3 linked regions of the Oryzias latipes genome follow. Each later gene encodes a partner of the first gene's protein in a complex. Links are inferred from orthologs where the notes say so. Each region holds a gene or a part of one and is shown on either strand. Other genes may lie near its edges. The genes, in order: dihydropyridine-sensitive L-type skeletal muscle calcium channel subunit alpha-1, cacnb2 and cacnb1.

The links.
Region 2: dihydropyridine-sensitive L-type skeletal muscle calcium channel subunit alpha-1 (region 1) and cacnb2 share a complex: the UniProt entries of both Homo sapiens proteins name them as parts of the calcium channel complex. The link is inferred for Oryzias latipes from reciprocal best matches to the Homo sapiens genes CACNA1S and CACNB2.
Region 3: dihydropyridine-sensitive L-type skeletal muscle calcium channel subunit alpha-1 (region 1) and cacnb1 share a complex: the UniProt entries of both Homo sapiens proteins name them as parts of the calcium channel complex. The link is inferred for Oryzias latipes from reciprocal best matches to the Homo sapiens genes CACNA1S and CACNB1.

The regions. Positions count from the first base shown.
Region 1 is NC_019865.2:11,944,195-11,951,873, forward strand, and holds part of dihydropyridine-sensitive L-type skeletal muscle calcium channel subunit alpha-1, read right to left. Parts: intron 7,622-7,679; coding exon 7,488-7,621; intron 7,361-7,487; coding exon 7,208-7,360; intron 7,131-7,207; coding exon 6,925-7,130; intron 6,847-6,924; coding exon 6,743-6,846; intron 6,647-6,742; coding exon 6,501-6,646; intron 6,417-6,500; coding exon 6,335-6,416; intron 5,557-6,334; coding exon 5,396-5,556; intron 5,306-5,395; coding exon 5,080-5,305; intron 4,968-5,079; coding exon 4,760-4,967; intron 4,184-4,759; coding exon 4,063-4,183; intron 3,957-4,062; coding exon 3,842-3,956; intron 3,756-3,841; coding exon 3,656-3,755; intron 1,527-3,655; coding exon 1,457-1,526; intron 1,203-1,456; coding exon 1,070-1,202; intron 992-1,069; coding exon 862-991; intron 769-861; coding exon 709-768; intron 297-708; coding exon 190-296; intron 73-189; coding exon 1-72. UniProt on the Homo sapiens protein: Pore-forming, alpha-1S subunit of the voltage-gated calcium channel that gives rise to L-type calcium currents in skeletal muscle.
Region 2 is NC_019878.2:20,087,405-20,095,083, forward strand, and holds the end of cacnb2 (voltage-dependent L-type calcium channel subunit beta-2), read right to left. Parts: intron 6,919-7,679; coding exon 6,823-6,918; intron 6,250-6,822; coding exon 6,058-6,249; intron 4,824-6,057; coding exon 4,131-4,823; 3' UTR 1,778-4,130; downstream 1-1,777. UniProt on the Homo sapiens protein: Beta subunit of voltage-dependent calcium channels which contributes to the function of the calcium channel by increasing peak calcium current. Plays a role in shifting voltage dependencies of activation and inactivation of the channel.
Region 3 is NC_019866.2:5,367,982-5,375,660, forward strand, and holds part of cacnb1 (voltage-dependent L-type calcium channel subunit beta-1), read right to left. Parts: intron 6,113-7,679; coding exon 6,054-6,112; intron 5,969-6,053; coding exon 5,859-5,968; intron 5,230-5,858; coding exon 5,221-5,229; intron 3,423-5,220; coding exon 3,271-3,422; intron 1,934-3,270; coding exon 1,838-1,933; intron 1,745-1,837; coding exon 1,559-1,744; intron 212-1,558; coding exon 1-211. UniProt on the Homo sapiens protein: Regulatory subunit of L-type calcium channels. Regulates the activity of L-type calcium channels that contain CACNA1A as pore-forming subunit.

The sequences.
Region 1 (7,679 bases):
CGGTTGATGGCTCTGAGAGGTCTCAGCACTCTCAGCACCCTGAGAATCTTGACCACAGAAATTGCACTGGACCTGCAGGCAGTACATAGTAAAAGCAATAATCATACATGTGTGTTTTAAAAATAAAAAATAAAAACATGTATTTCAGTGAAAAGTGACAACAGTGTCTTGTGTGATCCTGAAACTCACTCCATTCCCATGGACAGGAGCGACACTGTGACCACAATCAGATCCAGGATGTTGAAAGAATTACGACAGAACGAGCCTTCATGCATGAAAGCGCCGTACACCGTCATCTGTCCGTGACACAATAAAATAAAGTTACACTTTATATATAATTTTAGGTCTGCTTTTGTCATTCGGTTTGTTAGATAAAGAATAAACCAGAAACATTTGGATAGTTTCATCTTTATTTAATCACTACCACTATTACTACTACCTGCCTTTTCTTTTGTGTGAAATTTAGATTTGTTCAACCAAACACACAAAGTCAATAAAATACTAACTCCGTATATTAGTAAAACTAAATCTCTATAAATAAACATGTTATATTGTAATACCGGTGATATTCATTCCTCTAAGGTTAAAACTGCAGGATTCGCTGAACTGTTTATTTTTTTATTTTAAAAATGAAAACTGAGTAGCAACAAAAAGAGACGACACAAAACAACTGATCTCAAAATAGTTGTTGTTGCTTGTTGACCTTACCTTGAGCACAATCTCAATGGTAAACATGGTTGTGAAAACAATGTCAGCATAAGCCAAGATCTTTAAAAAAAAGAACAAAAACTAGGTTAAGTTCAGAGCTCAGCCTCTTGCATCCATTGTTGTCCAACATGCTGAGTCTGACTCGGCTTCCACCTCGTTTCTGTAGGACCTTGGATCGATGGGGTCCTCAGCTGCCAGCGATATGGAGGACAGCAGGATGAAAAGTAGAATCAAGTTGGTGAAGGACGAAGCGTTGATGATCTTGTAGCACAGTTTACGGAACCTGGATTGCAAAGTACAGACATGAGCTAGACAGAATTTACACATCTTTATCTTTGAAACACTTCTTTTATTATCTTACTTGTTCTGAGGGCCAAAAATATAAAACGAACTGGCTTCAGGTAATGGAACCGCTTCTTCCTTCAGCTGCAGGTCTGCCATTGGTCGAGGCCGAGGGCTTAGGGGGATTGCAGGTTCTTCCTCCTCATCATCACCTAAAAAGCAGAAAAACAGACTGCAGAACAATACCAGCACTTCAACTTGCATTGAATAAAACACTAAATCAAAGATTGGGGAGAGGATTTTCAGACTGTACGAATTATGATGGTTGTCACTCAATGGACTTAAAAACAGCTTTAAAATTCTCAGCACACAACCCAAGGAGCTGGTTGAGATCAACTGCCCTGATTTTTACCTGTCAGCAACATTAAAACAATAAATGAAGAGGAAGACAAATGAACTGGTTTACCTGGAAAATCATCAGGTGGAAATGGATCTTTCACTTCATTGACATTGGACTCAAATTCATCGACTTTAAGCTGAAAACAAAAAACAGTATAAAGTTATAATCCTTTAGCACAATCTACAGTGGTATGAGAAAGTTTGGGCACCCCTGATAATTTTCAAAATTTTTCTTCATAAATCATTGGTTGTTTGGATCATTAATTTCAGTGAAATATATCATATAGCAGATGAACACAGTGATACTTGAGAAGTGAAATGAAGTTTATTGGATTTAAAGAAACTGTGTTTTAATTACTTAAACAAAAATAGGCAGGTGCGTAAATTTGGGCACCCCAACAGAGACATGCCATCAATATTTAGTAGATCCTCCTTTTGCAGAAATGACAGCCTCCAATCGCTTCCTATAACTTTCAATAAGGGCCTGGATTCTGGTTGAAGGTATTTTGGACCGCCCGCTTTAAATCACACCACAGATTTTCAATAATATTCAGGTCTGGGGACTGAGATGGCCATTCCAGAACATTGTACTTGTTCCTCTGCATGAATGTCTTTGTAGAATTAGAGCAGTGTTTAGGGTCATTGTCTTGTTGAAGTATCCAGCCCCGGCGCAACTTCAACTTTGTCATTGATTCTTGAACATTGTTTGTAAGAACCTGCTGATACTGACTGGAATCCATGCGACCTTCAACTTTGACAAGATTTCCAGTACCTGCACTGGCCACACAGCCCCAAAGCATGATGGAACCGCCACCAAATTTGACTGTGGATAGTAAGTGTTTGTCTTGGAATGCTGTGTTCTCTGTTTGCCAAGCATACCGCCCCTTGTTATGTCCAAATAACTTCATTTTAGTTTCATCAGTCCACAGCACCTTATTCCAAAATGAAGCTGGCTTATCCAAATGTGCTTTAGCATACCTCAAGCGACTCTGTTTATGGCATGTGCGCAGAAAAGGCTTCTTCCGCATTACTCTTCCATACAGCATCTCCTTGTGCAAAGTGCGCTGAATGGTTGACCGATGCACAGTGACACCGTCTGCGGCCAGATCACGTTGTAGGTCTTTGGAGCTGGTCTGTGGGTTGAGTTTGATTGTTCTCACCAACCTTCGCCTCTGCCTATCTGAGATTTTTCTGGGCCGGCAACTCCGGGCCTTTGCTTGAACTGTGCCTGAACTTCCATTTTCTCACTATATTCCTCACAGTGGAAATTGAGAGCTGAAATCTCTAAGCAAGCTTTTTGGATCCTTCACCTAAACTATGATGATGAAATCTGACAGCTGTTTTGAGTATGGAAGCGATTCTGTAGCATAATTAAAAATAAAAGTCAAAACCAGAAATGCTTTTTCATTTTCAAAATGACGCTGCATTTTTTGACCCAAAGTTAAAATGAAAAGGCATTCCTTCAAAATGCTTTTTCCTTTTACAACCATCACAAAGCCGTCTCCTCTGCTGCTAACACAAAGCTCCACTGCTCCAAGCATCTCTGTGTCTCTTAGCAGCCGGACAGACGGAGAAATCAGTGACGTCATCGCCCTGCCTCCTCGCTGGAAATGCTTTTTCGAATTGAATATTTGCGACAATGTTCGCAGGGTGGATGTTAAAATGAAAATGCAATCCCCTCTTTGTATTTTCGTTTTTAATTATGACACAGAATAAGCGGAATTAAAGTTTAAAATGAAAAAGCATTTTGGTGGATTGCTTTTTCATTTTAATTTTGAGTCATTTGATGGAGTTACATTTTGAAAATGAAAAAGCATTACTGTTAATCCATTTTAATTGTCAAATTAGACATTTCTAAATGAATTTTGCTACACATTTACCAGAGAACTTTTTGAAAATGAAATGTCAAATACCATTTTCTTTATCGTTTTAATTAAGTGACAGAATAATCAATGTCGAAGAAGAAACTGAAAAAGCATTTTAGCGGATTGTTTTTCATTTTAATTTTGAGTCAAAAGTTCATTTTGAAAATGAAAAAGCATTTCTGGTTTTGACTTTTATTTTTAATTATGCTACAGAATCGCTTCCATAATAAACTTCATTTGCTTTCTCAAATATCACTGTGTTTTGTCTGCTATATTATATATTTAATTGAAATTGATGATCCAAACAACCAATGATTTGTGAAGAAAAATCTTGAAAATTATCAGGGGTGCCCAAACTTTTTCATACCACTGTATGTTTTACAACATCACCCAACACCAACCTTGGCGGTGGTGGGCATGCCCTCCAACTTGGCCCTCTGTTCTGCCAGTTTCTTAGCAATCCTTTCTCTTTCTTCGTCCGTCTTCTCTGGCATTTTGGACCTGGGTGTAAATCCCAAAAATAAATGAAATTTGCCAATGCAAAAACATAACTCTTCCTTTAACTTGTGTTTTAATTGTTTAACCACCTCAGCAGCTTCTTCTTCATCTTCTCTTCTGCCTTTTCCTTCTGAGCTGAAGTCAGACTCTCAGCCTCTGCCAGGTTGTCAACGGCGATGGCCAAGAAGACATTCAGGAGGATATCTGGTTACACTGAGTTCAGGAAAATTAGAACCGTGGCCATCAAAAAAGCTGCCATGCTTATCATTTTTAAGTTTGAAAAGAGATTTATGACTAATTCTCAGGATACAATTTCCACAGACGAAAAGGATGATGAAAAAAATGGAAACCAGGATGCCAGGTATGACAGGCCCTCCGTAAGCCATAATACCATTGTTCATAATGATGGTCCATTCTTCTCCAGTCAGAATCTGAGGGAAAATTACATATTAAAAAACATTTGCAAACTAAAATGACTTTTGACATTAAACTCTATCTAAAAGATCTACTCCAGTGAAATTAATGTTTTTGGTGTTTTTAACATGTCCTTGTGGCATTTTTCTCATGAAGGACACATATATATGAAGACAACTAAGCTCTAATTTGTTTTTCTTATTATTTCTTTATTCAAATAATTGGGAATCAGGAGCAAATGAAAAAATTGCCATTTGATAAAGAGCTTATTTGTGATGTAGAAAATATAATGGGCGGGCCACAAGCTCCCTGCTCCGAACTCTCAGAAAACAGGGAGGGGAAGGGGGGCGGAGTTTCTTCACACCAACAGACCATCCCTCAACTCAGAGGCGAATTTCTAATGAACTACTGCTGCTCTGCAGACAACGTCCTAGAAAACGATACAGCTTTTTAAATTTTGGCAAAAATGTGCAAAACCATAATTAAAAGACCACTGAGAACACTTCAACAATAGATAAAAAAGATTTTTGGAGTGGGGACTTTAAAACCAACAAAATAGTGTTCAATGTCAAAACACTGTCAGTCTTCCTCACCTGAAATACACTGATCAGTGCCTGAGGGAAGTTGTCAAAGTTACTGCGAGCGGGTCGGTTGTGATCAAAGTTGAATTTCCCTCCAAACACCTGCATTCCCAGAAGGGAGAAGATGACAATAAAGAGAAAGAGGAGGAGGAGAAGGGAGGCGATGGAGCGGACAGAGTTGAGAAGAGAGGCCACAAAATTGCTCAGAGAAGTCCAGTACCTAAAAATTGTAAACAGATGTTACATATTAACACATCAAAGTATAAAGGGAAAACTGTAGAGGAGTCTGAACATGTTCAACTTCTGCTAAAATGTCAAAGAGTTCGACTTACTTAGTAACTTTGAGGATCCTTAGGAGCCGTATGCACCTGAGGACAGAGAAACCGAGCGGAGCTACTGCTCCTGCAGACAGCATGATCATCTCCAGGATGCCGCACAGCACCACAAAGAAGTCAAAGCGATTAAACAAGGACATGAAGTATGCTCTTGGTCCGAGAGCATACAACTTTACAGACATCTCAAGGACAAAAAGCACCAGCAGTCCACGACTGGCCACATCTGTTGGGATGAAAGAGGACAAGAACAACATGAAACTGAGATGGGAGGAGATGAAAAGGGAAAAAGGTGTCCGGTAGTCCAAACACCAACCTTGCAGAGTAGTAAGAGATTTAGGTTGATGATGATACTCTGTGGCAATAGTCAGAGTGTTGAGGAAGACGAGGAACATCACCAGCCAGTAAAAGCCCTTCGTCTTCACATACACCAGACATTTCATCCTGAAAAAACGATTCCAACGACGGGCCAGGCGGCTAAACACAGAAAAAAAGCAGCTCATTGTGGGGCTTTTTTTGAGTTGGTCTATAATATTCCTGCTCTCCCAGTGATGCACACATTACTTCTGTCTTTAAAAGACATCAATGACTTTAAGTTTTTCTGTTCTAATTCTGTGTTGTTATTGTTGTTGAAGTAACTAACATATCAATTGTCCAATAACAGATAATCCAAACAGGGATTTGGTATCATCTGCTTCTATCCTCTCACTGCTGCAATGAATAATTTATCTTCTCTGCCTAATACCAGACGTAAGTTTGTCAAATATGCTACATTTGGTATTAACATATGTCTTTTAATTTCTAACAGATGTTCAGTGACTTTGTATTCACGCACTTCCTTATTCCTAACTGCTGCAATGACTAACTTATTTCCTTTGCAGATTGTTGCCCTACTGACCTTTGTTTCACTGAAGGACAGCCTTTGTAATTTTCCAAACTAGGATTTTTTTATATCTCTACTGTCTCCTTTTGTTAGCTGATTACAGGGACTCCATCAAAATTCCTTCAATGTAATCGGTTGGTCACTCATACAAGACATTAGTATATAAGTGAGATAATCGGTCATTATTTGAATTATCTGGATTGAACTGGATTAGAAATATTACATAGAAAAATGTTTTGTTTGATGTTTTTGGTGTTTTTATCTAATATAACCTTGGTTCTGAACTGGAGCGTTGTTAAAAAAAAGGGGGAAACAAGAATCTAATTGATTTTGTATTCTAACTTGTGTATGATCACAGAACAGAGGACTCACTAGTAGTAGATGATGCGACTTTTGCCCTCCAAATCATACAGGCTGTCTGTTTCAGAGTCTCCGTTGGTCAAAGGTAGGAGACCTGAAAGACCAAGACAACCGTTTTTAATCTGATGCAGTGTTTGCATTAGCAACAAGGGTGCTGCTGTTTGCCTACAGATCTGACCTTTGCCCTCCCTGTCTGCATCCAGGACTTCAGCATGGGTGATCCATTCCATGTATCCATGGAGGTCCTCGTCCAGCTGCTGTCGCTCCCGCAGTTTCTGGAACTCTCCTCTTGACCTGGCTTTCTCTCGCTCTTTAGTGAACTCTCTGAGTGGAATCGAGTGGTAAAAAAGCATGATTCATTTGTTTGACTGGACAACCCACAGATCAGAACAGTTAAGAAAAAAATAACAGCAGTCTTACCCGCTGAGCACGCCCAGAACGAGATTGAGCACGAAGAAGGAACCAACAAGAATGAGAGGAACAAAATACACCCATGGCCATTCATTTCCTATGGCATCATTAACCTGAGAAGATATTTAAGAACATCAGCCAGGAGCTCACGACTCACATCAAACCGAACACTAGTAAAAACCTGTACTAACCCAGTAGAGGACCTTGGTCCATCCCTCCATGGTGATACACTGGTACACAGTCAGCATTGCAAAACCAATGTTATCAAAGTGGGTGATACCATTGTTGGGACCCTCCCATCCAGGGCGACACTCTGAGCCGTTGATGGAGCAGCGGCGTCCGTTACCAGCCTGAGCGCACGGAGCAGGCAGCTCCCCTTCCGCTGTGGCATAGATGTCTGTGCACAAAAGAAAACAACAAACACTGAAAACAGGACCAGAGTGAGCATGTTGAGGGAAGTTCTTCTATACTTACTTGTGCCTGTGTAGTAGCAGGTCTTGTGCATTTTGCACTTAAAGAGCTCCAGCCCCATGATGGCATAGATGGTGACCAACAAAAAGACCAGCAGGGCAATGTGCACCAAAGGCAGTGTGGCTTTGAGGATGGAGTTCATGACCACCTGTAGGCCTTGAAAAGGGGTTATTTAAATTAAATGTAAATCTCAGTAAGCTTTGATTGCAAAGAACATCCATATGGTTTAGATAGTACAAAAAAAGCAGGGCCAGTTTTTGGGAAAAGGAGTGCAAGGTCTTACTGGGGACTCCAGAGACAAGGCGAAGGGGCCTCAGCACCCTGAAGGCTCTTAGAGCCTTCATGTCAAATCCTCCACCCTTCTCTGTTGGTACTCCTGCGATCATATTGATGGTATCCAAAGCAAAGGTGAACAAGCTGCCCAAGTGAACAAGCAAGCACAAAAGACAAAAAGAAGGGAAGTTTTAAAGCTGGC
Region 2 (7,679 bases), on another chromosome or scaffold:
GCACTGACAAAGAGCTCTCTGCTGTTTACAGGATCTGCCTCTTAACATCTGCGGCCCATGTAGGGATGAGCTTTTAAAAAACACACAGAGGCAAGGAGAATGAATGGGGGCTGGAAAATGCAGCAATGCTTGTGTCGCCATAACAACAGTGACGACACTGCTGCCATGGTGACGGTGGATTCTCCGGATCAGGAAGTAGTGAGCAGAAAGAGGTCATGAGAGGTATTAACAATTTAGCATCTTTAGCAGCACAGGAGACGAGAGGGAGGGGTAATTAATTAGTCGAGTGATGCATCTGCCTGAACCACTGCAGTATCCAGGAGGAAGTCACGTTTTTTCACAATAAAAGCATGTGTTATTGAAATCTTGAGCTGTAAATGCCTTTTTTGTATCATTTAGAAGCACCTTATGCATATTATACATTACTTTCTAGTTCTTAATATTGTTGCCATCAGTCAACATGAATTCATTTTCCACATTTTCAGTGTATTTACCAATAGAATCTAGAAAAAAATCTGCTGTCAGTTATTACTTGTTAATGCAAAAGTGATTTTTCATCCAAATATGAACAACATAAAACCTATTTTTGGAACGCTCTGGACTAAATAATTGAAAAACATTTCCTCCAATTTTCAAAATTAAAGCTTTGTTAAAATATTTAAAAAATAGCGATGACCTTGCAGATGTTACCAATTGAGTGGAAAACACCAATCAACACTCATAGCCAATAGCTGACTAAACAGATCTTAAAACATTTAACTGACACCATTAGCTCATAAAGATGAACTAATGGTGTTAAGATCTGTTCAGTCAGCTGTTCTCCACTAATGTTTAAGATGTGTAGTGAGTTTCTCCGTGAGAATATAGGCGTAACACATGGCTTATAGGAGCACATTCATTCATCTTCTTCCCTTTTATCCCTTTTCGGGGTCACAGGGCTGCTGGAGCCTATCCCGGCCACAAATGGGCGAAGGGAGGGGACACCAGTCACCAGGTCACCAGTCTGTCACAGGGTCACACATATCACACACCCATGCACACTCACACCTATGGACAATTTGGAGTGACCAATTAACCTATGAAGTATGTTTTTGGACGGTGGGAGGAAGCCAGAGTCCCCGGAGAGAACCAACGCATGCACGGGGAGAACATGCAAACTCCACACACAAAGGTCCCCCATTGATGTTCTGTTTCAGGTCCCCCACCCGGGACTTCTTGCTGTGAGGCAAGAGCGCTAACCACTGTGCCACCGTGCATCAATGGCGCTCTTATTATCACTTCTGCTATCCCAGGCACTTTAACGTTGGGAGTTGGGTCATCTAGACCCACTAGACAGTGCTCTGAACCTTTTTTCTTCAATGATTTGTGATCTTCACTGGTGTCCATGGATTACATGAAATCTTTCCACCTTTATCCACCTTTGTCATGGTAGGTAGAACACGTCAAAGTAAGGGTGGGGTCATCTAAGATAGCGCAAGGGTTAAAGGAGCACATGACTGACCAAATCAGTCAGCCTTTCTTGATGTCTTGATTTCTTTTCCATTTTTCTCTTCTTTGGCAGTGCCTTCTCGTGAAGCCCATTTGTGTGTGTGTGTGTGAAGACTCCTCTTCCCATTTTAGACGCATCTCCCGGTATTGCCATTCATCTCAGTGTTGTCATGACGACTCAGGCGGCGGGCGGGCGGGTCTACCTCAATTTTTCAGCAGCTTCTGGTGACTATTTATAGAAGCTGCATCCCGCCTGTTTCTGGGCGTTCTGACAAAGCACACATCCGACGACTGTGTCATCAGGTTTATTTTGTTGCCAACTTTATTCTTTATGTAACTTTATGTACATACACATGTACACTGTTAAAAATCCGTAGCGCTACAAATGTAGCATAGAAATGGGGGGTTTGGAATGACACTTTTGGGGCATATAACAAAACAAAAAACTGTCGGGTCGGTGTGTACGGTAACCTAAGCAGAACCAGGCATGGTTTAGGTTTTTTTAGTGTCTGCGTCCACCTGCTCCTGGCTCTGCAGGTGGTGGTGATGATGATGGTGGTGATGATAGAGACAAAATCAATCAAAGCTCTCAGAATATCCCAAACCCACTGATGTGCTATAAATAGATCCTGTGTGTTAGTCAGTGGAGGAGGGAGATGGCAGAAAGCTTGAATGAAACATGTTCAAGTGGTAAAAAATTTAATCATTTTAAAGCTTATTCTGTAAATTTATCTTTTAATGTAAAAAAAAAAAATCATTCATAACGTTCTTTGAACAGAGAAGAAGAGAGGGAATCAAGTGGAAATGAAACATTCATTAAAAAAGGGGATTGGTAAGAGGAGAGCCGCAGTGCAGTTCTGCAGACAGACCTACAGAGAGTGGAGAATCATATCAAACCACTTTCACTTGAAAACCAGTGTTAATCAGTAAGAATAAAGGGTGTAACGATGCTAGAAAAAGGGTTTTTGGATCCACTTTAAAGGGCAGTTTCGGCATGTCAGACAGAGAATTTTGCTTTGAACTTGAGCGTCTTGTAAGGCAAGACTAAGGTCCCAAAAGAGGCCTTTGAAAACTAAAGTTTGAATCCTGGGAAACTAAAGAAGAAAAAAGAAATTAAAGGAGTAGTCTGACAACTTGGGAAGACCACTTTTCTGCTGGGATGAGACATCTTAAACGGTTGTAATCTATGAGGCTACAGTCAGCAGCTGCTCACATGCAGCTAAGCTTTCCAATTATAATGTGATCATCTGTAGAGTAGATTTATAATGCAGTAAAGAAATACAATCTAATATCAGCGGGAGTTTTTTTTTTTTTTTTTCTGGTCTTAGCACAGCTTTCCGTCACATTTATTATTCAAACAGGACACCAGTCTCAATCTAGTTACTGCATCAGCAACCCTGGAACTAAAGTCCTGCTCCAAATACATGGAGATTCTTGAACTTTGATTGAAAGGCTGTGTCACACAGCCACAATGAAAATTGGTCATACACAAATATACGAGGAAAAGGTGAGAAAAGTTGTGGACTTCACGTAAAATTTTCTCAGATATATCACACGTGAACCACGTTGAAACCATGGAAGAAGTACGAATACATCCGGCAAAGAACACGTAAATCATTGTAAGAGCCATTTCTGGCCCAAAACTCATGTGTTACGTAATTCTAACGTGATGTAAAATTTATACTTGCAGAAAAATCAGTTAGACTTAAGTGGAAAGGTCGTGGAAAGCCGCAAACTTTCTTATGCATCTTGCAAAAATCACACACAATTGTGTAAAGATTTAAGCAGTAATTGTGTAAAAAACTACATAAAATACGCATAAACTGCTGAACAGCTTAAAACCGAATTCACATAAAGACCTGTTGGTTGAAACCCTTGACGGACAAACGCAATAAACACTTATTACGTATATCACGCATGTGTTCCGCATGTGGAAAAGGCACAACATGACAAAATGTACTTAGTGGCTGTGTGACACGGCTTGAAAATGAGTTCTTTTAAAGGTGCAATTTGTGATTTACAATTGTTTTGATGGACACGGTTTATTTATATTCCTTTTTCGGGTAAAAAAATAATTCAGAAAAAGCCAAAAACATGCTGCAGACCCTTTCAAAATAAAGTAGCCCATATGTCTCTTCAGCACAACTTAGGTTCAGTTTCGTAAACCGTGTAAAATCGGAGCGAGTGAATTTCCCAAATTGCCAAACTAATCTCTGAATACAAACTAGGTCAGCGGATAAACCATTGCAGTAGTCTAAAGGGGGGAAAAAATTCAAGTGGTAGCGAGCAAAAACAAAGAATATCGATAAAAATGATCAAAATTGTTTATGCTAATCACAGAAAGCACAGCTCACAACAGAAAAAAATCTGCTTTTCTGTCATGCTTTATCAAACACAGGTTCAAAGAATGCATATTTGAGAATATTCACGCATATCCAGGCATAAACAAAGTCTATGCATAGATACACACATGTATGTTTATATTTTCATGGTCAAAATCCTGCAAACAGCAGCTTTTACAAAGACGTGGACATAAATAGGGCGTTGTGCCGCTTAAGGGGATAGCAGAACAAAGGAAGAACAGAACAGAGTTTGGTCTGGACCACTCCCCCGCCTCGCCCCTTTTTGAGGGGGGCCACCGCTCAGTCCTTCTCCCTGCCGCGGTCATAGTAGTGGTGGTGGTCGCGTGTCGGCCGGTGGTGGTGGTGGGAGCGCTGCTTGTTGCGTTCGTTGTGGTCCTGCTCGCGCTCTTTGGAGCGCTGCTGTCCCGTGCCATGGCCGCCTTCCTCTGCCCCGCTGCGGTGGTGGTGGTGGTGGTGATGGTGGTTGTGGTCCCGACTGGGCAACGGCTCATAACGCTGTTGCCTCTGGGGGTGGCCTTCCCCAACGTCCACATCGTCCTCCTCCTCTTCCTCGTCCCGGTGGTGCGGCTGCACCCGTGGCTCATTGTGAGCCGAGTTTTTGCTTTTGCGGCTGTCAGGAGTCTCTGAGTCCAACGTTTCCTGCCGAGAGAGGCCCCGGGCCCTGCCGCTGTGGTGGTGATGATGATGATGGTTGTGTTGCTCAGTTCTGGAGGAAGACGACCTGTGGTGGATGTGCTGGGCTCTTTTGGAAGACTCTGTCCTGAGGGGCCTGTCTTCCTCCTCTTCTTCTTCCGCCTCCTCCTCCTCCTCCTCGTTTCCCTCCCCGTCTGCCTCCACGTCTGCATCCGCCTGCTCCTGACTCTGCTGGTGGTGATGATGATGGTGGTGGTGGTGATGATGGTGCTGATAGTCTTCCTTGGAGCTCTTCCTCTCAGCTGGCGCTCTGTCTCCTTTCTGCTCCGTGCTGTTGCTCTGGAGCGACAACACAACCGTCAGCAAACGGAAAGAAACCAACAAAAACCAACAAACGAAATCACCGCACACTCAAAAACTCATTTTCCTATAAAGTCACACACAGACACACACAGAGGTAAATCAGACCCAAAGAAGACTCGAGTTTGGTCTTGGAGGCATGCAGAGCTTCACCCTTCAACACACACTTACCAAACTAGCAAATACAAGCTCATTCCTGCTCTTCATCATTCTCAGCATTGTCTTCCTCTACAGTCTTACATTTCCCGTTTTGAGTGCAGGGGAGGGCAGAGGTACAAGTTTTAAACACACTTTTACACTAAAATGTTTTATCATAGGGTGAATATCACAAAGGTAGACAAAATGATAAATAAACACATTTTTTTCATGACTATGATTATGCCGTTTTTAGACCAAATCAAAAAGTCGTCTAGGACGTAGTTTCTGCAGAGCGGCAATAGTTCCTTCGAAATTTGCCTCCGAGTTGTGGGCAGGACCGTCAGAGCGGCGCAACCCCATCGTTGTTAGCGGGAGTTTTTAGGCCCACCCAGCTTATTTTTTACAACACATATAAGTTATTTATTGAACAGATTCACAACAATTAGAATAAACAAATACTCTGGAATGCAATTTGGAGCTTCATTTTCTTTATATATGTCCTCCATCATCAGAAAAAAATCCACGATGTTCATCAGAGTGGGTATTTAACTGCTTTGTATTACTCTGCCATTCATGAACATTTATATACTAAACAGGACCGTTTTTGACTTCCACTCTAGAAGGTCTTTCTAAAGAAAGGCCTTTCTTATGCTAGGGGCTTGAATCTTTACGATTTGGAGCAACTATAATGTCAAGAAGACAGGATTATTTTCTTTCATTTATTTTCTAATCAAATCATAAATTAACCTGTTTTAATATATCTATGTATTCTTTTGTCTTTATTGCTGAAAATTGCTTGAAATAAACCAATCGATCTCCTCTAGTACCAACTTGTGAGTATAAATGTGTATTTTTTTAATTATTTTTTCCTTTAGACTTATTTCTTTTTATTTATGTTGTCATTTAATTCTATGCGTTTCTGTGTAATTATTCCTTCTGTCATAAAAAAAATAGTAACAGTTTAAGCATTTGGATGAAGATATTCATTACTCTGGACTTTTAGTACTTGGAAAATATACGATAAAATAGCACTATCACTGGTTTCCCAGAATTCCCTTTGTGCACACACCTGTACCTGCACTCCGGAGTTGGGGGCCTGGCTGGAGGGCAGTGCGGCGGTGGGCTGCTTTGTTAGCTGTGGATCGGGCGGGCTGTTACTGCTGCTGCTGGTGGGATGTGTGCTCTTCCAGTACGCCTCCAGGTAATCTGCCATGTGCTCGCAGGCATCCTCCAGCTGGTTCTCGTCCAGGATGATGTCAAACATCTCCTGGAAGAGCGAGATCGTTTAAAGAAAAGGAGAAAAATCCCCCCCAAAAAACTCAGTTTTAAGCTGCAAAAGAGGCCTACAATGATCTTTCTGATGCATACACAAAATGTCAGAGCTATATTTAAACGAACGGCCCGCAGAGTTAATAAAACACCGCTAGCTATTAATTTTCAGGAAACTTTAAATGGTAATTCCCTCAAGAAATTGGCTTAAATTAAGCTTGAACTTTTCCCATCCTGAGGGTGCTCACTTCGTTTTCTAAAATGTTAATTAATCGGATTACAGAAGAATGAAAATAGAACTGTCTGGAATTCTGAAGCTTTGACCTCAAGAGAAAGTAGAAAAAAAATGATTTTAAAAAGACTAAGGCTCTAAATGAGAACAATTGGACTTTTACGCAAAATTTAAGGCTTTAACCGTGCAAAAACGTTTTTCCCTGGAAGAAGAACACTTTGAGGAGCTGATTGATCAAAGTGTCTCCAGTTGACCTGAACAAATCAAAGAAACCCTGCAGGTCTTCTTTTTTTAAATTCTAAATAGGGCAAAAGTCAGGGGTCCGGTTAGGAGACTCACAGCAGGGCACTGGGCCAGCTTATCAGCGGCCACCATCTGGACGTTGAGGTGTTTGGCCTGAGACTTGCCTCGGGACTTGATTAACCGCTGCAGGACCTACGGCAAATGAGGACAGGAGGAGACAGGGGTCAAGACTGCCATAAACAAAAACGAAATCAACATTTTTGTACTTTGTATAAACAATTTCTGAAAGTCATAAAGGTAAAACAAACAGGTTCTGTGGGACTTCACGCCATGTTGAGCAGATCCAACAAAAAAAGCCAACAAAAAAAACCCCTACCATTGTGAATTTTATTTCAATTTCTGATTAGATTAGTTGGAGTCATTTTATGACATTTAGCTCAGTTTATTTATTTAAGGTCTTTCAAACATGTTTTAAAAACCACAACAGATTAATCAATACCCTGACTGATAACAATTTACAAGAAAAAAGTTGTAAAATTATGGAAAAAACAGTAAAACGAGTCAAAACTTTCAAATAACTTCAAAGTCATAAATTGAGAATTTAGCAGATTAAAGCCATAAATTTATTAGGCAAAAGTCAGTTTATTAAGAAAATATTGTATAAACAACAAAAAAAGAAACAATAGGGTGTGTCTGCATGAGAGACTTTCATATTGTAAGGTTTAAATTCTTTCACACAAAAAGAAAATAGTAAGTCTGTTAGTGAGTTTAGATTGTATTATTTTAAGTATAAGAACATTGAAAAAAAATATAGGCCTCCTCAGAAAAGGACTGTGGATGGAGGCTGACACAACCAACTATATTTTGAATAAAGCATGGCTTTTCCCTGTAAAATTATGACTTTTTTCCACAGAAATTTACGACTTTATTCTCGTAAAATTACAATTTATTTT
Region 3 (7,679 bases), on another chromosome or scaffold:
GGGTCTCGGAGTCGAAGGTGTCTTGCCGTGACAGGCCACGGCTGCTCCCCCCTCGAAGCTGGCCGCGGGACGAGCGCAGGCACGCCTGCTGTTGGTGATGCTGCTGAGGCTTTCCTCCCAGGTCGCTCTTGTAGTCACGCAGAGTGCTGCTGCCGCCGGATTCTGTTAAGACACCTTCCCTCTTGTGCTCACCGTGCACCAGGTACTGGCCCTGCAGCGAGTCACGGCCATGCCACACAGAAGCCATGCAGAGAGCCAAAACAGCAGAGGTAAGTCAGCATTGTTAGCAAACATAGCAACACACAACAATGGCACATTAGGGCAGCTGTGCAATCAAAAGTGCTATGATCCCACAAAAAAAAACCACACATACACACACAAGCACCAAAATCATGTTTCATATGTTTGAAAACATATCAAGTATGTTTGAAAATCCTGGTTCAAATCTCAGCTGGATCTTTCTGTGTGGAATTTGCACGGTCTCCCTGTGCATATTTTCTTTAGGAACTGCAGAGAAAGCATCCAAAAAAAAATGCTTTATAGGTAAGTTTGTGTCTCTAAGCTGTCCCTAGATGAACATGTGTGAGTCTGTGAAAAGGACTGGCGACTAGTTATGGACAGTAGCTGGGTTATTTCCAGCAGACCTGTGACCCTGAAAGGGATTCAGAGGATGGATGGATTACCTTAATGTTCTTGTTTGATATGGTTAACAGAACAGTAACAACACTGCCATCTGGTGGTTGGAAAAGGTCATTACTAAACCTAAAAACTTTTTTTTTTTACCCCCCCCCCCTTCATGATTTTCACTCTAAAACTGTTCTAAATGGAAATACTGTCCTTTATGTTCTACTTTACAATTGCTTTTTTTTTTTTTACCGATTGTGTAAAACAGTGCAACACAAGTATGTTAATAAGCAAACAATCCTGACTTAGAAGCAGAATTAAAGGTGACTAGCTGTCTATTAGTAGCATTGTTAATCGATTATGCTGGTCAGTTAGAAATGTTTGAGCTTTTCTATCTGAAGAGCAGGAAATGACTTGCTGTTTTCAGGGGCAGTACCATGGCAACGCAGAGGAGGACAGCAAACTGGATTTGGCCTTTCAGAGAAGGAGGGGAGCTGAAAAAATGAGGCCACTGACACGTAGAGGGGAGTGGGGGGCAGATATTATTTTACCTCTGACTGGTGAAAGGGAACGGGGCCCCAGGGGCAAAGGTACTAAGTTCAGTCGTTTGAGGTGTTGCCTTCACAGTTTTAAACAGTCCACCGGTTTGGATCGAGACTACAGATCTGTTCTTCATCTAGCTGTCCCTGTATTTTTGCACATGTGTGTGATTCTTCTCGGCTTCATAACAGCAGAAACCGGGCTTTATTGCACTACTCCTTCTGTCTAGCGAGAGCAGGCTGCAGAGGTCGGTTCAGGTTGCCGGAGTGCCCATCCCACACCGCAACGCCGTGCTTCAGACAGTGTGCTCTTCCTCTTTTCCCTCACTGGCTACAGCACCGTCCAAGTCAGGCCACAGATCCATGTTTCTGCGCAGGGAGGTGAGCACCTGTACCTGCAGGTTGGAGACGGGCTCGGGAGACGCAGCGAGGGCCGCCGTGGCCATAGTACGGTTGAGTAGGGGGTTGGGAGGGTTGCTGCTAGGTGGGTGTGTTGCCTTCCAATAAGCCTCCAGGTAGTCAGCCAGGTGTTCGCATGCGTCCTCCAGCTGGTTCTCATCCAGGATGATGTCAAACAGTTCCTGTGCCACAAACAAAGCAAGTCTTAGTTGGTGTTGCAGAAGCAGAGAATCAAAAATGTCCAAATAAAGTATAATTCCTAAATCAGGACTCACAGGTGGACATTGAGCCAGCTTGTCTGCTGCAACCATCTGAACGTTTAGATGTTTCGCCTGAGACTTTCCTCTGGATTTAATGAGCCTCTGGAGAACCTGCAGCGAGTCAACAGCAACAACTCAAATAGTACCGCATAAAAACAGGAGCTTGAAGCCAAGCTCATTTAAGAATGGGGCGTGGCCATTGGGGTAGGTGAAGCGTTCCAGCAAAAGTTTGTCCGTAAGATTCTAATTCAGCAACCTGATGGATGAGCGTGATGCATACAACGTTGTGGCGATGAGTGCTAAAATACATTTTTACTCTGTGAACTCTTTAAAAATACTGTACTTGATGCAAATATTCCCTTCATATCTCTAAGTGACACCACTATTGGAAAATCTTGTTTCAACTGTGCTCGAAAAAATAACAAGATCATACGTGCCCTGTTTCAGCAAAATGTAATTTCTGTTCCCTCTGCTGTTTTTTATTGGAGAAAATTTATTCCTGACTTGCCGTGGAAAAATGTTTGGACCCTGCATCAGAAATTATTAATTAATAACAAGATGAGAGACGTCTCCTACAAACTCCTACATAGAATCTATCCCACTAATCAATACATGATCAGATATAAGAAGACTATTGACCCCAACTGTACCTTTTGTAAAGAACACCCAGAAACAATCAGTCACCTATTTTGGAATTGTAATACTACTAAAAAACTTTGGAAAGATTGTGCATGTTTTATAAATTATAATTTAGATTCACAACATCAGATGAAATTTGAACATATCATATTTGTCCTACACGAAAAAAATATAAGATCAAACGTAAAATTGGCAATTAATCTAATTATAATATTTGGTAAATTTCATATTCATAAATCAAAGTTTTCTTCATCACAACTTTTTTTCCCTTTAATAATTAAAGAATTAGAATCTTATTTACATACTATTTCTAATAGTTTAAACAAAAAGGCCGTACATATTTATGAAAACTGTCTGTCTCTGAATATTTTCAATGCATAGCATTTGTAATCTTTTTGTAATACATGTACCATCCCCTGACATTGTTGTTGTTATGACTATTGTTCCTGTCATACATATTTGTTCCGTTTGTGTTGAATAATAAAGTTTATTAAAAAAAAAATCCACTCGAAGTACAAAAAAAAAAATAATAAAATACATTTTTACTTTGCCGTGTGTGAAAACAAATACAGGGCTGCAGTACACACTGTCAGAAAGAATGAAATAAAGCATATTAGGCAAACTCAAGTGCTCTTCTTCAACCCGTGACGCTGCTTCATCATATGTAAATTTGTTTTGGGTGTTTTTTATCCCCATTCTTGAAGCTCTCGTTTGAGCACCGGAACAATTTCAACAGCACCAGTTTGGCACCAGATGAAATTCCAAATGGTACCCATCCCTACAAATTAATACCAGACATGAAGGTTTACCTTGGGAGATGCTATTTTGATATAGACGATGATGGGAGCCAGAGAGGTCTTTGCCAGCTGAGTGGGGTGGTTGATGGTGTCTGCATCCAAAGCAACGAGCTGCAGGGTTCGGGCCAGCTCGAAGATGCGCTCAATCTCACTCTGCACCTCAGCTGACAGCACAGGAAAGAGACACAAATAAATAAACAAACAAAAAGTTATTAAAAAGCAGGCTGCTTTTATCTTTAAGGAGATGCAGCTTTGAACAGCAGTTAAATTCTCTTACTTTCTGCATAGTTATTAAACGAACATGTTAGTTCCTCACCGTGCACGTTTGGATTTTTTTTAAAAACAATGACAAAAGCCCACAAGCTTTCAAGGATGTAAATCAGGTTGGACCACAGTTTTAAGTTCCATTTATTCAGAGCTAAATGGAGCACTGGAGCATCTTCATTCAGTTGCCACCTCCAGACATTTCAGATTCTCTTAAGTGCTTCTGATCATTTCTAATTTGAGGTTGTAAAGGAAGGAGGCACTTAGAAATGAGATGCCTGTGGTACTTGAAATAGCTTACAATGAGGGCACAATTCTTCACCATGTAACCAAAACAGAAACAAACAAAATACAGATAAAAAAAACATACAGCATGGGGGGAGAAAACGTTTTTTTGTTAGCACAAATAGGCACAGCAAAATTATTGCATCAGGATAGCCATTCTAGACGGAGGACTTTTTGTTTTCATTGTTCCTCAGCCACAGCCAACCAGAGCTTTTGCATTTCAAGCGTAGTTCCAACATTCATCGAGAGGGAAAAAAATGGCGCCTGACATCATCTGCCGGAAGTGGAAAACATACAACTTACCTTAACCTTAACCCAGAAGTGATCAGAATTGTAAAAATAACATGCATTACAGCTTAAAACTGGAAATATTCTAGGTAAAACTTTATAATAACTATGGGTTATAGCTTGGTAAATTATTAACAAAACTGTAAGTTAACGAGTTATAAATAACTTTGTTAAGGATCTATAAATGTGCCTTTATAACTAAAAATTGATCATGAACAAGCATTTAATAAATTTCTCGACAACGATTTGTTAAGTATTAGGTAATGGCTTATCTGTTACTGGGATGTTGTTTCAAAGTGGAAAACATTCCTCATTTATTAACCGTTAAGAAAGGAGGGACATTTCCAACATTGATACACTGATGACTGTTATTTATAACCCATTAACTAACAGTTTATTCATGATTTATAATAGATGATTTATAATGATTTATAATAGATGATTATTATAAAGCATTACCAAACTGGAACTGGCAGGGTTTGCCAGTTTTTTTTCGAGCGATATGGGGCAGACTTCCGGTTCTGATTCTGGATGTCGATGTCTACAGCCAGGGTTAAACTGACAGCCAGAGTGCCCCTTGCCCTGGGGGTCAAACATCAGCACCTCCAAAGTTGTGCCAACTCAGCAGTGATGACAGATAACAGGCCGTTTAATCGACAGGGGCCCCATATTTCAGAAGCCTCCAGGAGGACTCCAAATTAAAGCTGTCCAGTCAGTCAGTCCAAGTGACAAGAAATGGGAACTTTTAAGGTAAGTAAATATGGATAACAACTGCAATAACTCAAGTTTTAACAGTATATAAAAGGTAAAGTCCAGCTCGTATAGGGGCCATTCAAGAGTCTTACTAAAGACGTACTGTATCCAGACTACTTTTAGGGGTAATTGCAATATGTGGTTTGAACAGCAGCAAGCAGTCGCCCACAGATCTCTGCCTGCGCGGGTTTCGTAATTCTTTCCTTTTTGTTCCAGACTGCAGGCTGTCACTCTGAGGTATGAGGAACAGAGAAACTGACAGGCAAACAGACAAACAATGTATGAGTACATGATGAATATAGTTAGGGGGGGAAAAGCGAAAAGAAGAGGGAGAGAAGCTGCATTGTTTCATTGCACGGAGAGCATACATACCCAGTACGTCTGAATCACAAGACAGAGAAGGAGGAGGAGGAAGAGGAAAGGTTTGGCAGAGTAAGGAGGATGGTTGAAGGGCACAAGAGACAAGATGAAAAGAGAGAAAAGGCCTAAATCAGACTCGATCAGAGGAGTTGTAAAAGCTTACAGGTCTTTTGATGAGGTACATCCTATGCTGTGTCTACCCTATTATGGCTAGGTCCTTAGATGAGTTATAACAAGTTGGATTCAAGGCTCCGAAGAATCCCTTTTTGGCATGTTGATCTAACATCAGCTCCTCCCAAAATGTTCTAATTTCTCCAATTTTTAATCACAAATTCCCCTGTGCCTGAGCAATCAAGTCAAACTGCAAGATGCAGCTACAAAAGCCAAAATAATAAATGTAGATTTGTGCTGAAGTTGGTTTGTGAGAATCAGAAACACATAAAAAATGTCTTTCTTGCTATTTGAATAAGCTGTTTGGAGTCTTATACTTTAAAAAAAAGTGTACCTAAAGAAACAGGGATATGGAAGAGACAGGAAAAGATGTTCAGCAACACGACACAATGAACAAACATCTTTAATTTTCCAGAGTTTCATTTTATAAAAGTTTTCACTGCCAGAAGACGTCTGGTCACCGAAGCGAGGTTTCTTACCCAGGCTGGAGCGAGTGCTGGAGCGCTCGATGATGGTGTGTTTGCTGGGGTTGTTCAGGACTGAACGTTTGGCCAGAGAGATGTCTGCTGTCACCCGCGTGATGGATATTCTGAAACAGAGATCCAGCACTTTACAGGATAAACGTATAACATTACAGGTCATGCATTGTTGAAGCCTTTTTTTTTTTCTTTTACCTTCCTTCAAACTTGTGTTTCAGAAAATCAAAGAGAGCTTTCTGCATCATGTCTGTCACCTATTGGATAACAAAACATTCAAAAACAGACAGCCATTAGTGTAGTTAGGTTCATTAAAAAGCAATAAAAATTTTTTTTTAATATGTTTTTTAGAAAAAAAATAGTTTTTCACATATTTCTTTCACTATAAACACTTATTTATGCAATAATCTTAAATCAGCAAATAATTTTCTGACTCAGCTATGTCTATTTTAAAAGATAGGTTTCTCCTAAAAAGCAAAAACACAAATTGAATAAAGTGTAAATATACCCGGCACTCACGATAAGTAAGGGATACTGTGAAAAACTTAGAGGATGTTGTAAAAAGTGTTTCACTTTACAGATTTTCAGGATACGGAGGCAATTGTATTGGAGTGGTGAACACTTTATTTAGGGTTTTTTTTCACATAATGACCTGACTGTGTTCATTGTCTTACTTAAAAGCAAAACAACAAAAATTCTAAAAGAAAATCCTTTTCAATGTGGCATCAATTTCAGCATTCTAGGGATGTAAAAAGCTGATTTTACCAGTAAGTCATTCCATCATCATCATTCAAACAGCCATGAGCATCGCTTAATGGATGAGCAGCACCATCTATCTGGCGATGGCGCGCCTTCAGGTTGGTACAGCATGCAGTCAGATGTGAAGTCAGGTGACCTTGTCTTCAAGTGTCATCAGCAGACTTCCATCAAGACTCGGAACTACTGGCAGAGTTTGTGAAAAAACACAGCCATGTTCTGCACACAGAAACACCACGCAGTTGCTGGCCCGTTTACCAGATGTGAGGGGTACCAGAGTTTCTGGAACATTCACAACCAACTCCACTGCTTTGACTGGAATGTAAAGGGTTTGCCATCCTAAATGAAAGCTTTTTTTTACTTTTATGCAATTAATAACTCATTGATTAGTACATTTTGCTTACATTAACCCACTTATGGAATCCTAAGGAAATGCAAGCCAGTTAAAACCAGTTAGGTATACATGATCTTACTGGCAGGAGCAGAGGGCACCGACACAGACCACTAAAAACGTAGATTTGGTGAAGACGACCATTTGACGTATTAAGGACTATTGGAGGTTTCTCCAATAGTCTCCAATGGAGGCCAGACATTGGCCTGAAGCCACCCTGGGGGGCCACCCTGGAGGATATATCTGTGGGATCCATTCTACTGAGTCTCATGGAGATAATCCCGATAAGCCTTCCTCACAAATGCCAGACAACCATTGCAGGTGACTCCACTGACAGCAAGACAGGGCCGTGTAAGTTTGCAGCGGACACAAGACCATGTGACCTGGACAATGCAGCAATGGTCTTCCATCATGTTCACTGATGAGTTTGGGGTCACCCTACCCAGAAATGATGGTCGTCAGCATTGTTAGAGAAGGTGAGCTTTGGTGGAGGAGGAGCAACATTCTGGGCAGGCATCACCAGTTGGAGATGGTTCAGTCACTGCACGCTCCTACCTCAGAGACATCATAGAACCACCATCATCCCCCAATTCCCCCAGGACACCCCCAACTTTCTGTTCATGGATGATAACACTCCACCACATGGTGCCAGAATTGTTACAGCTGGACTTCAGGAA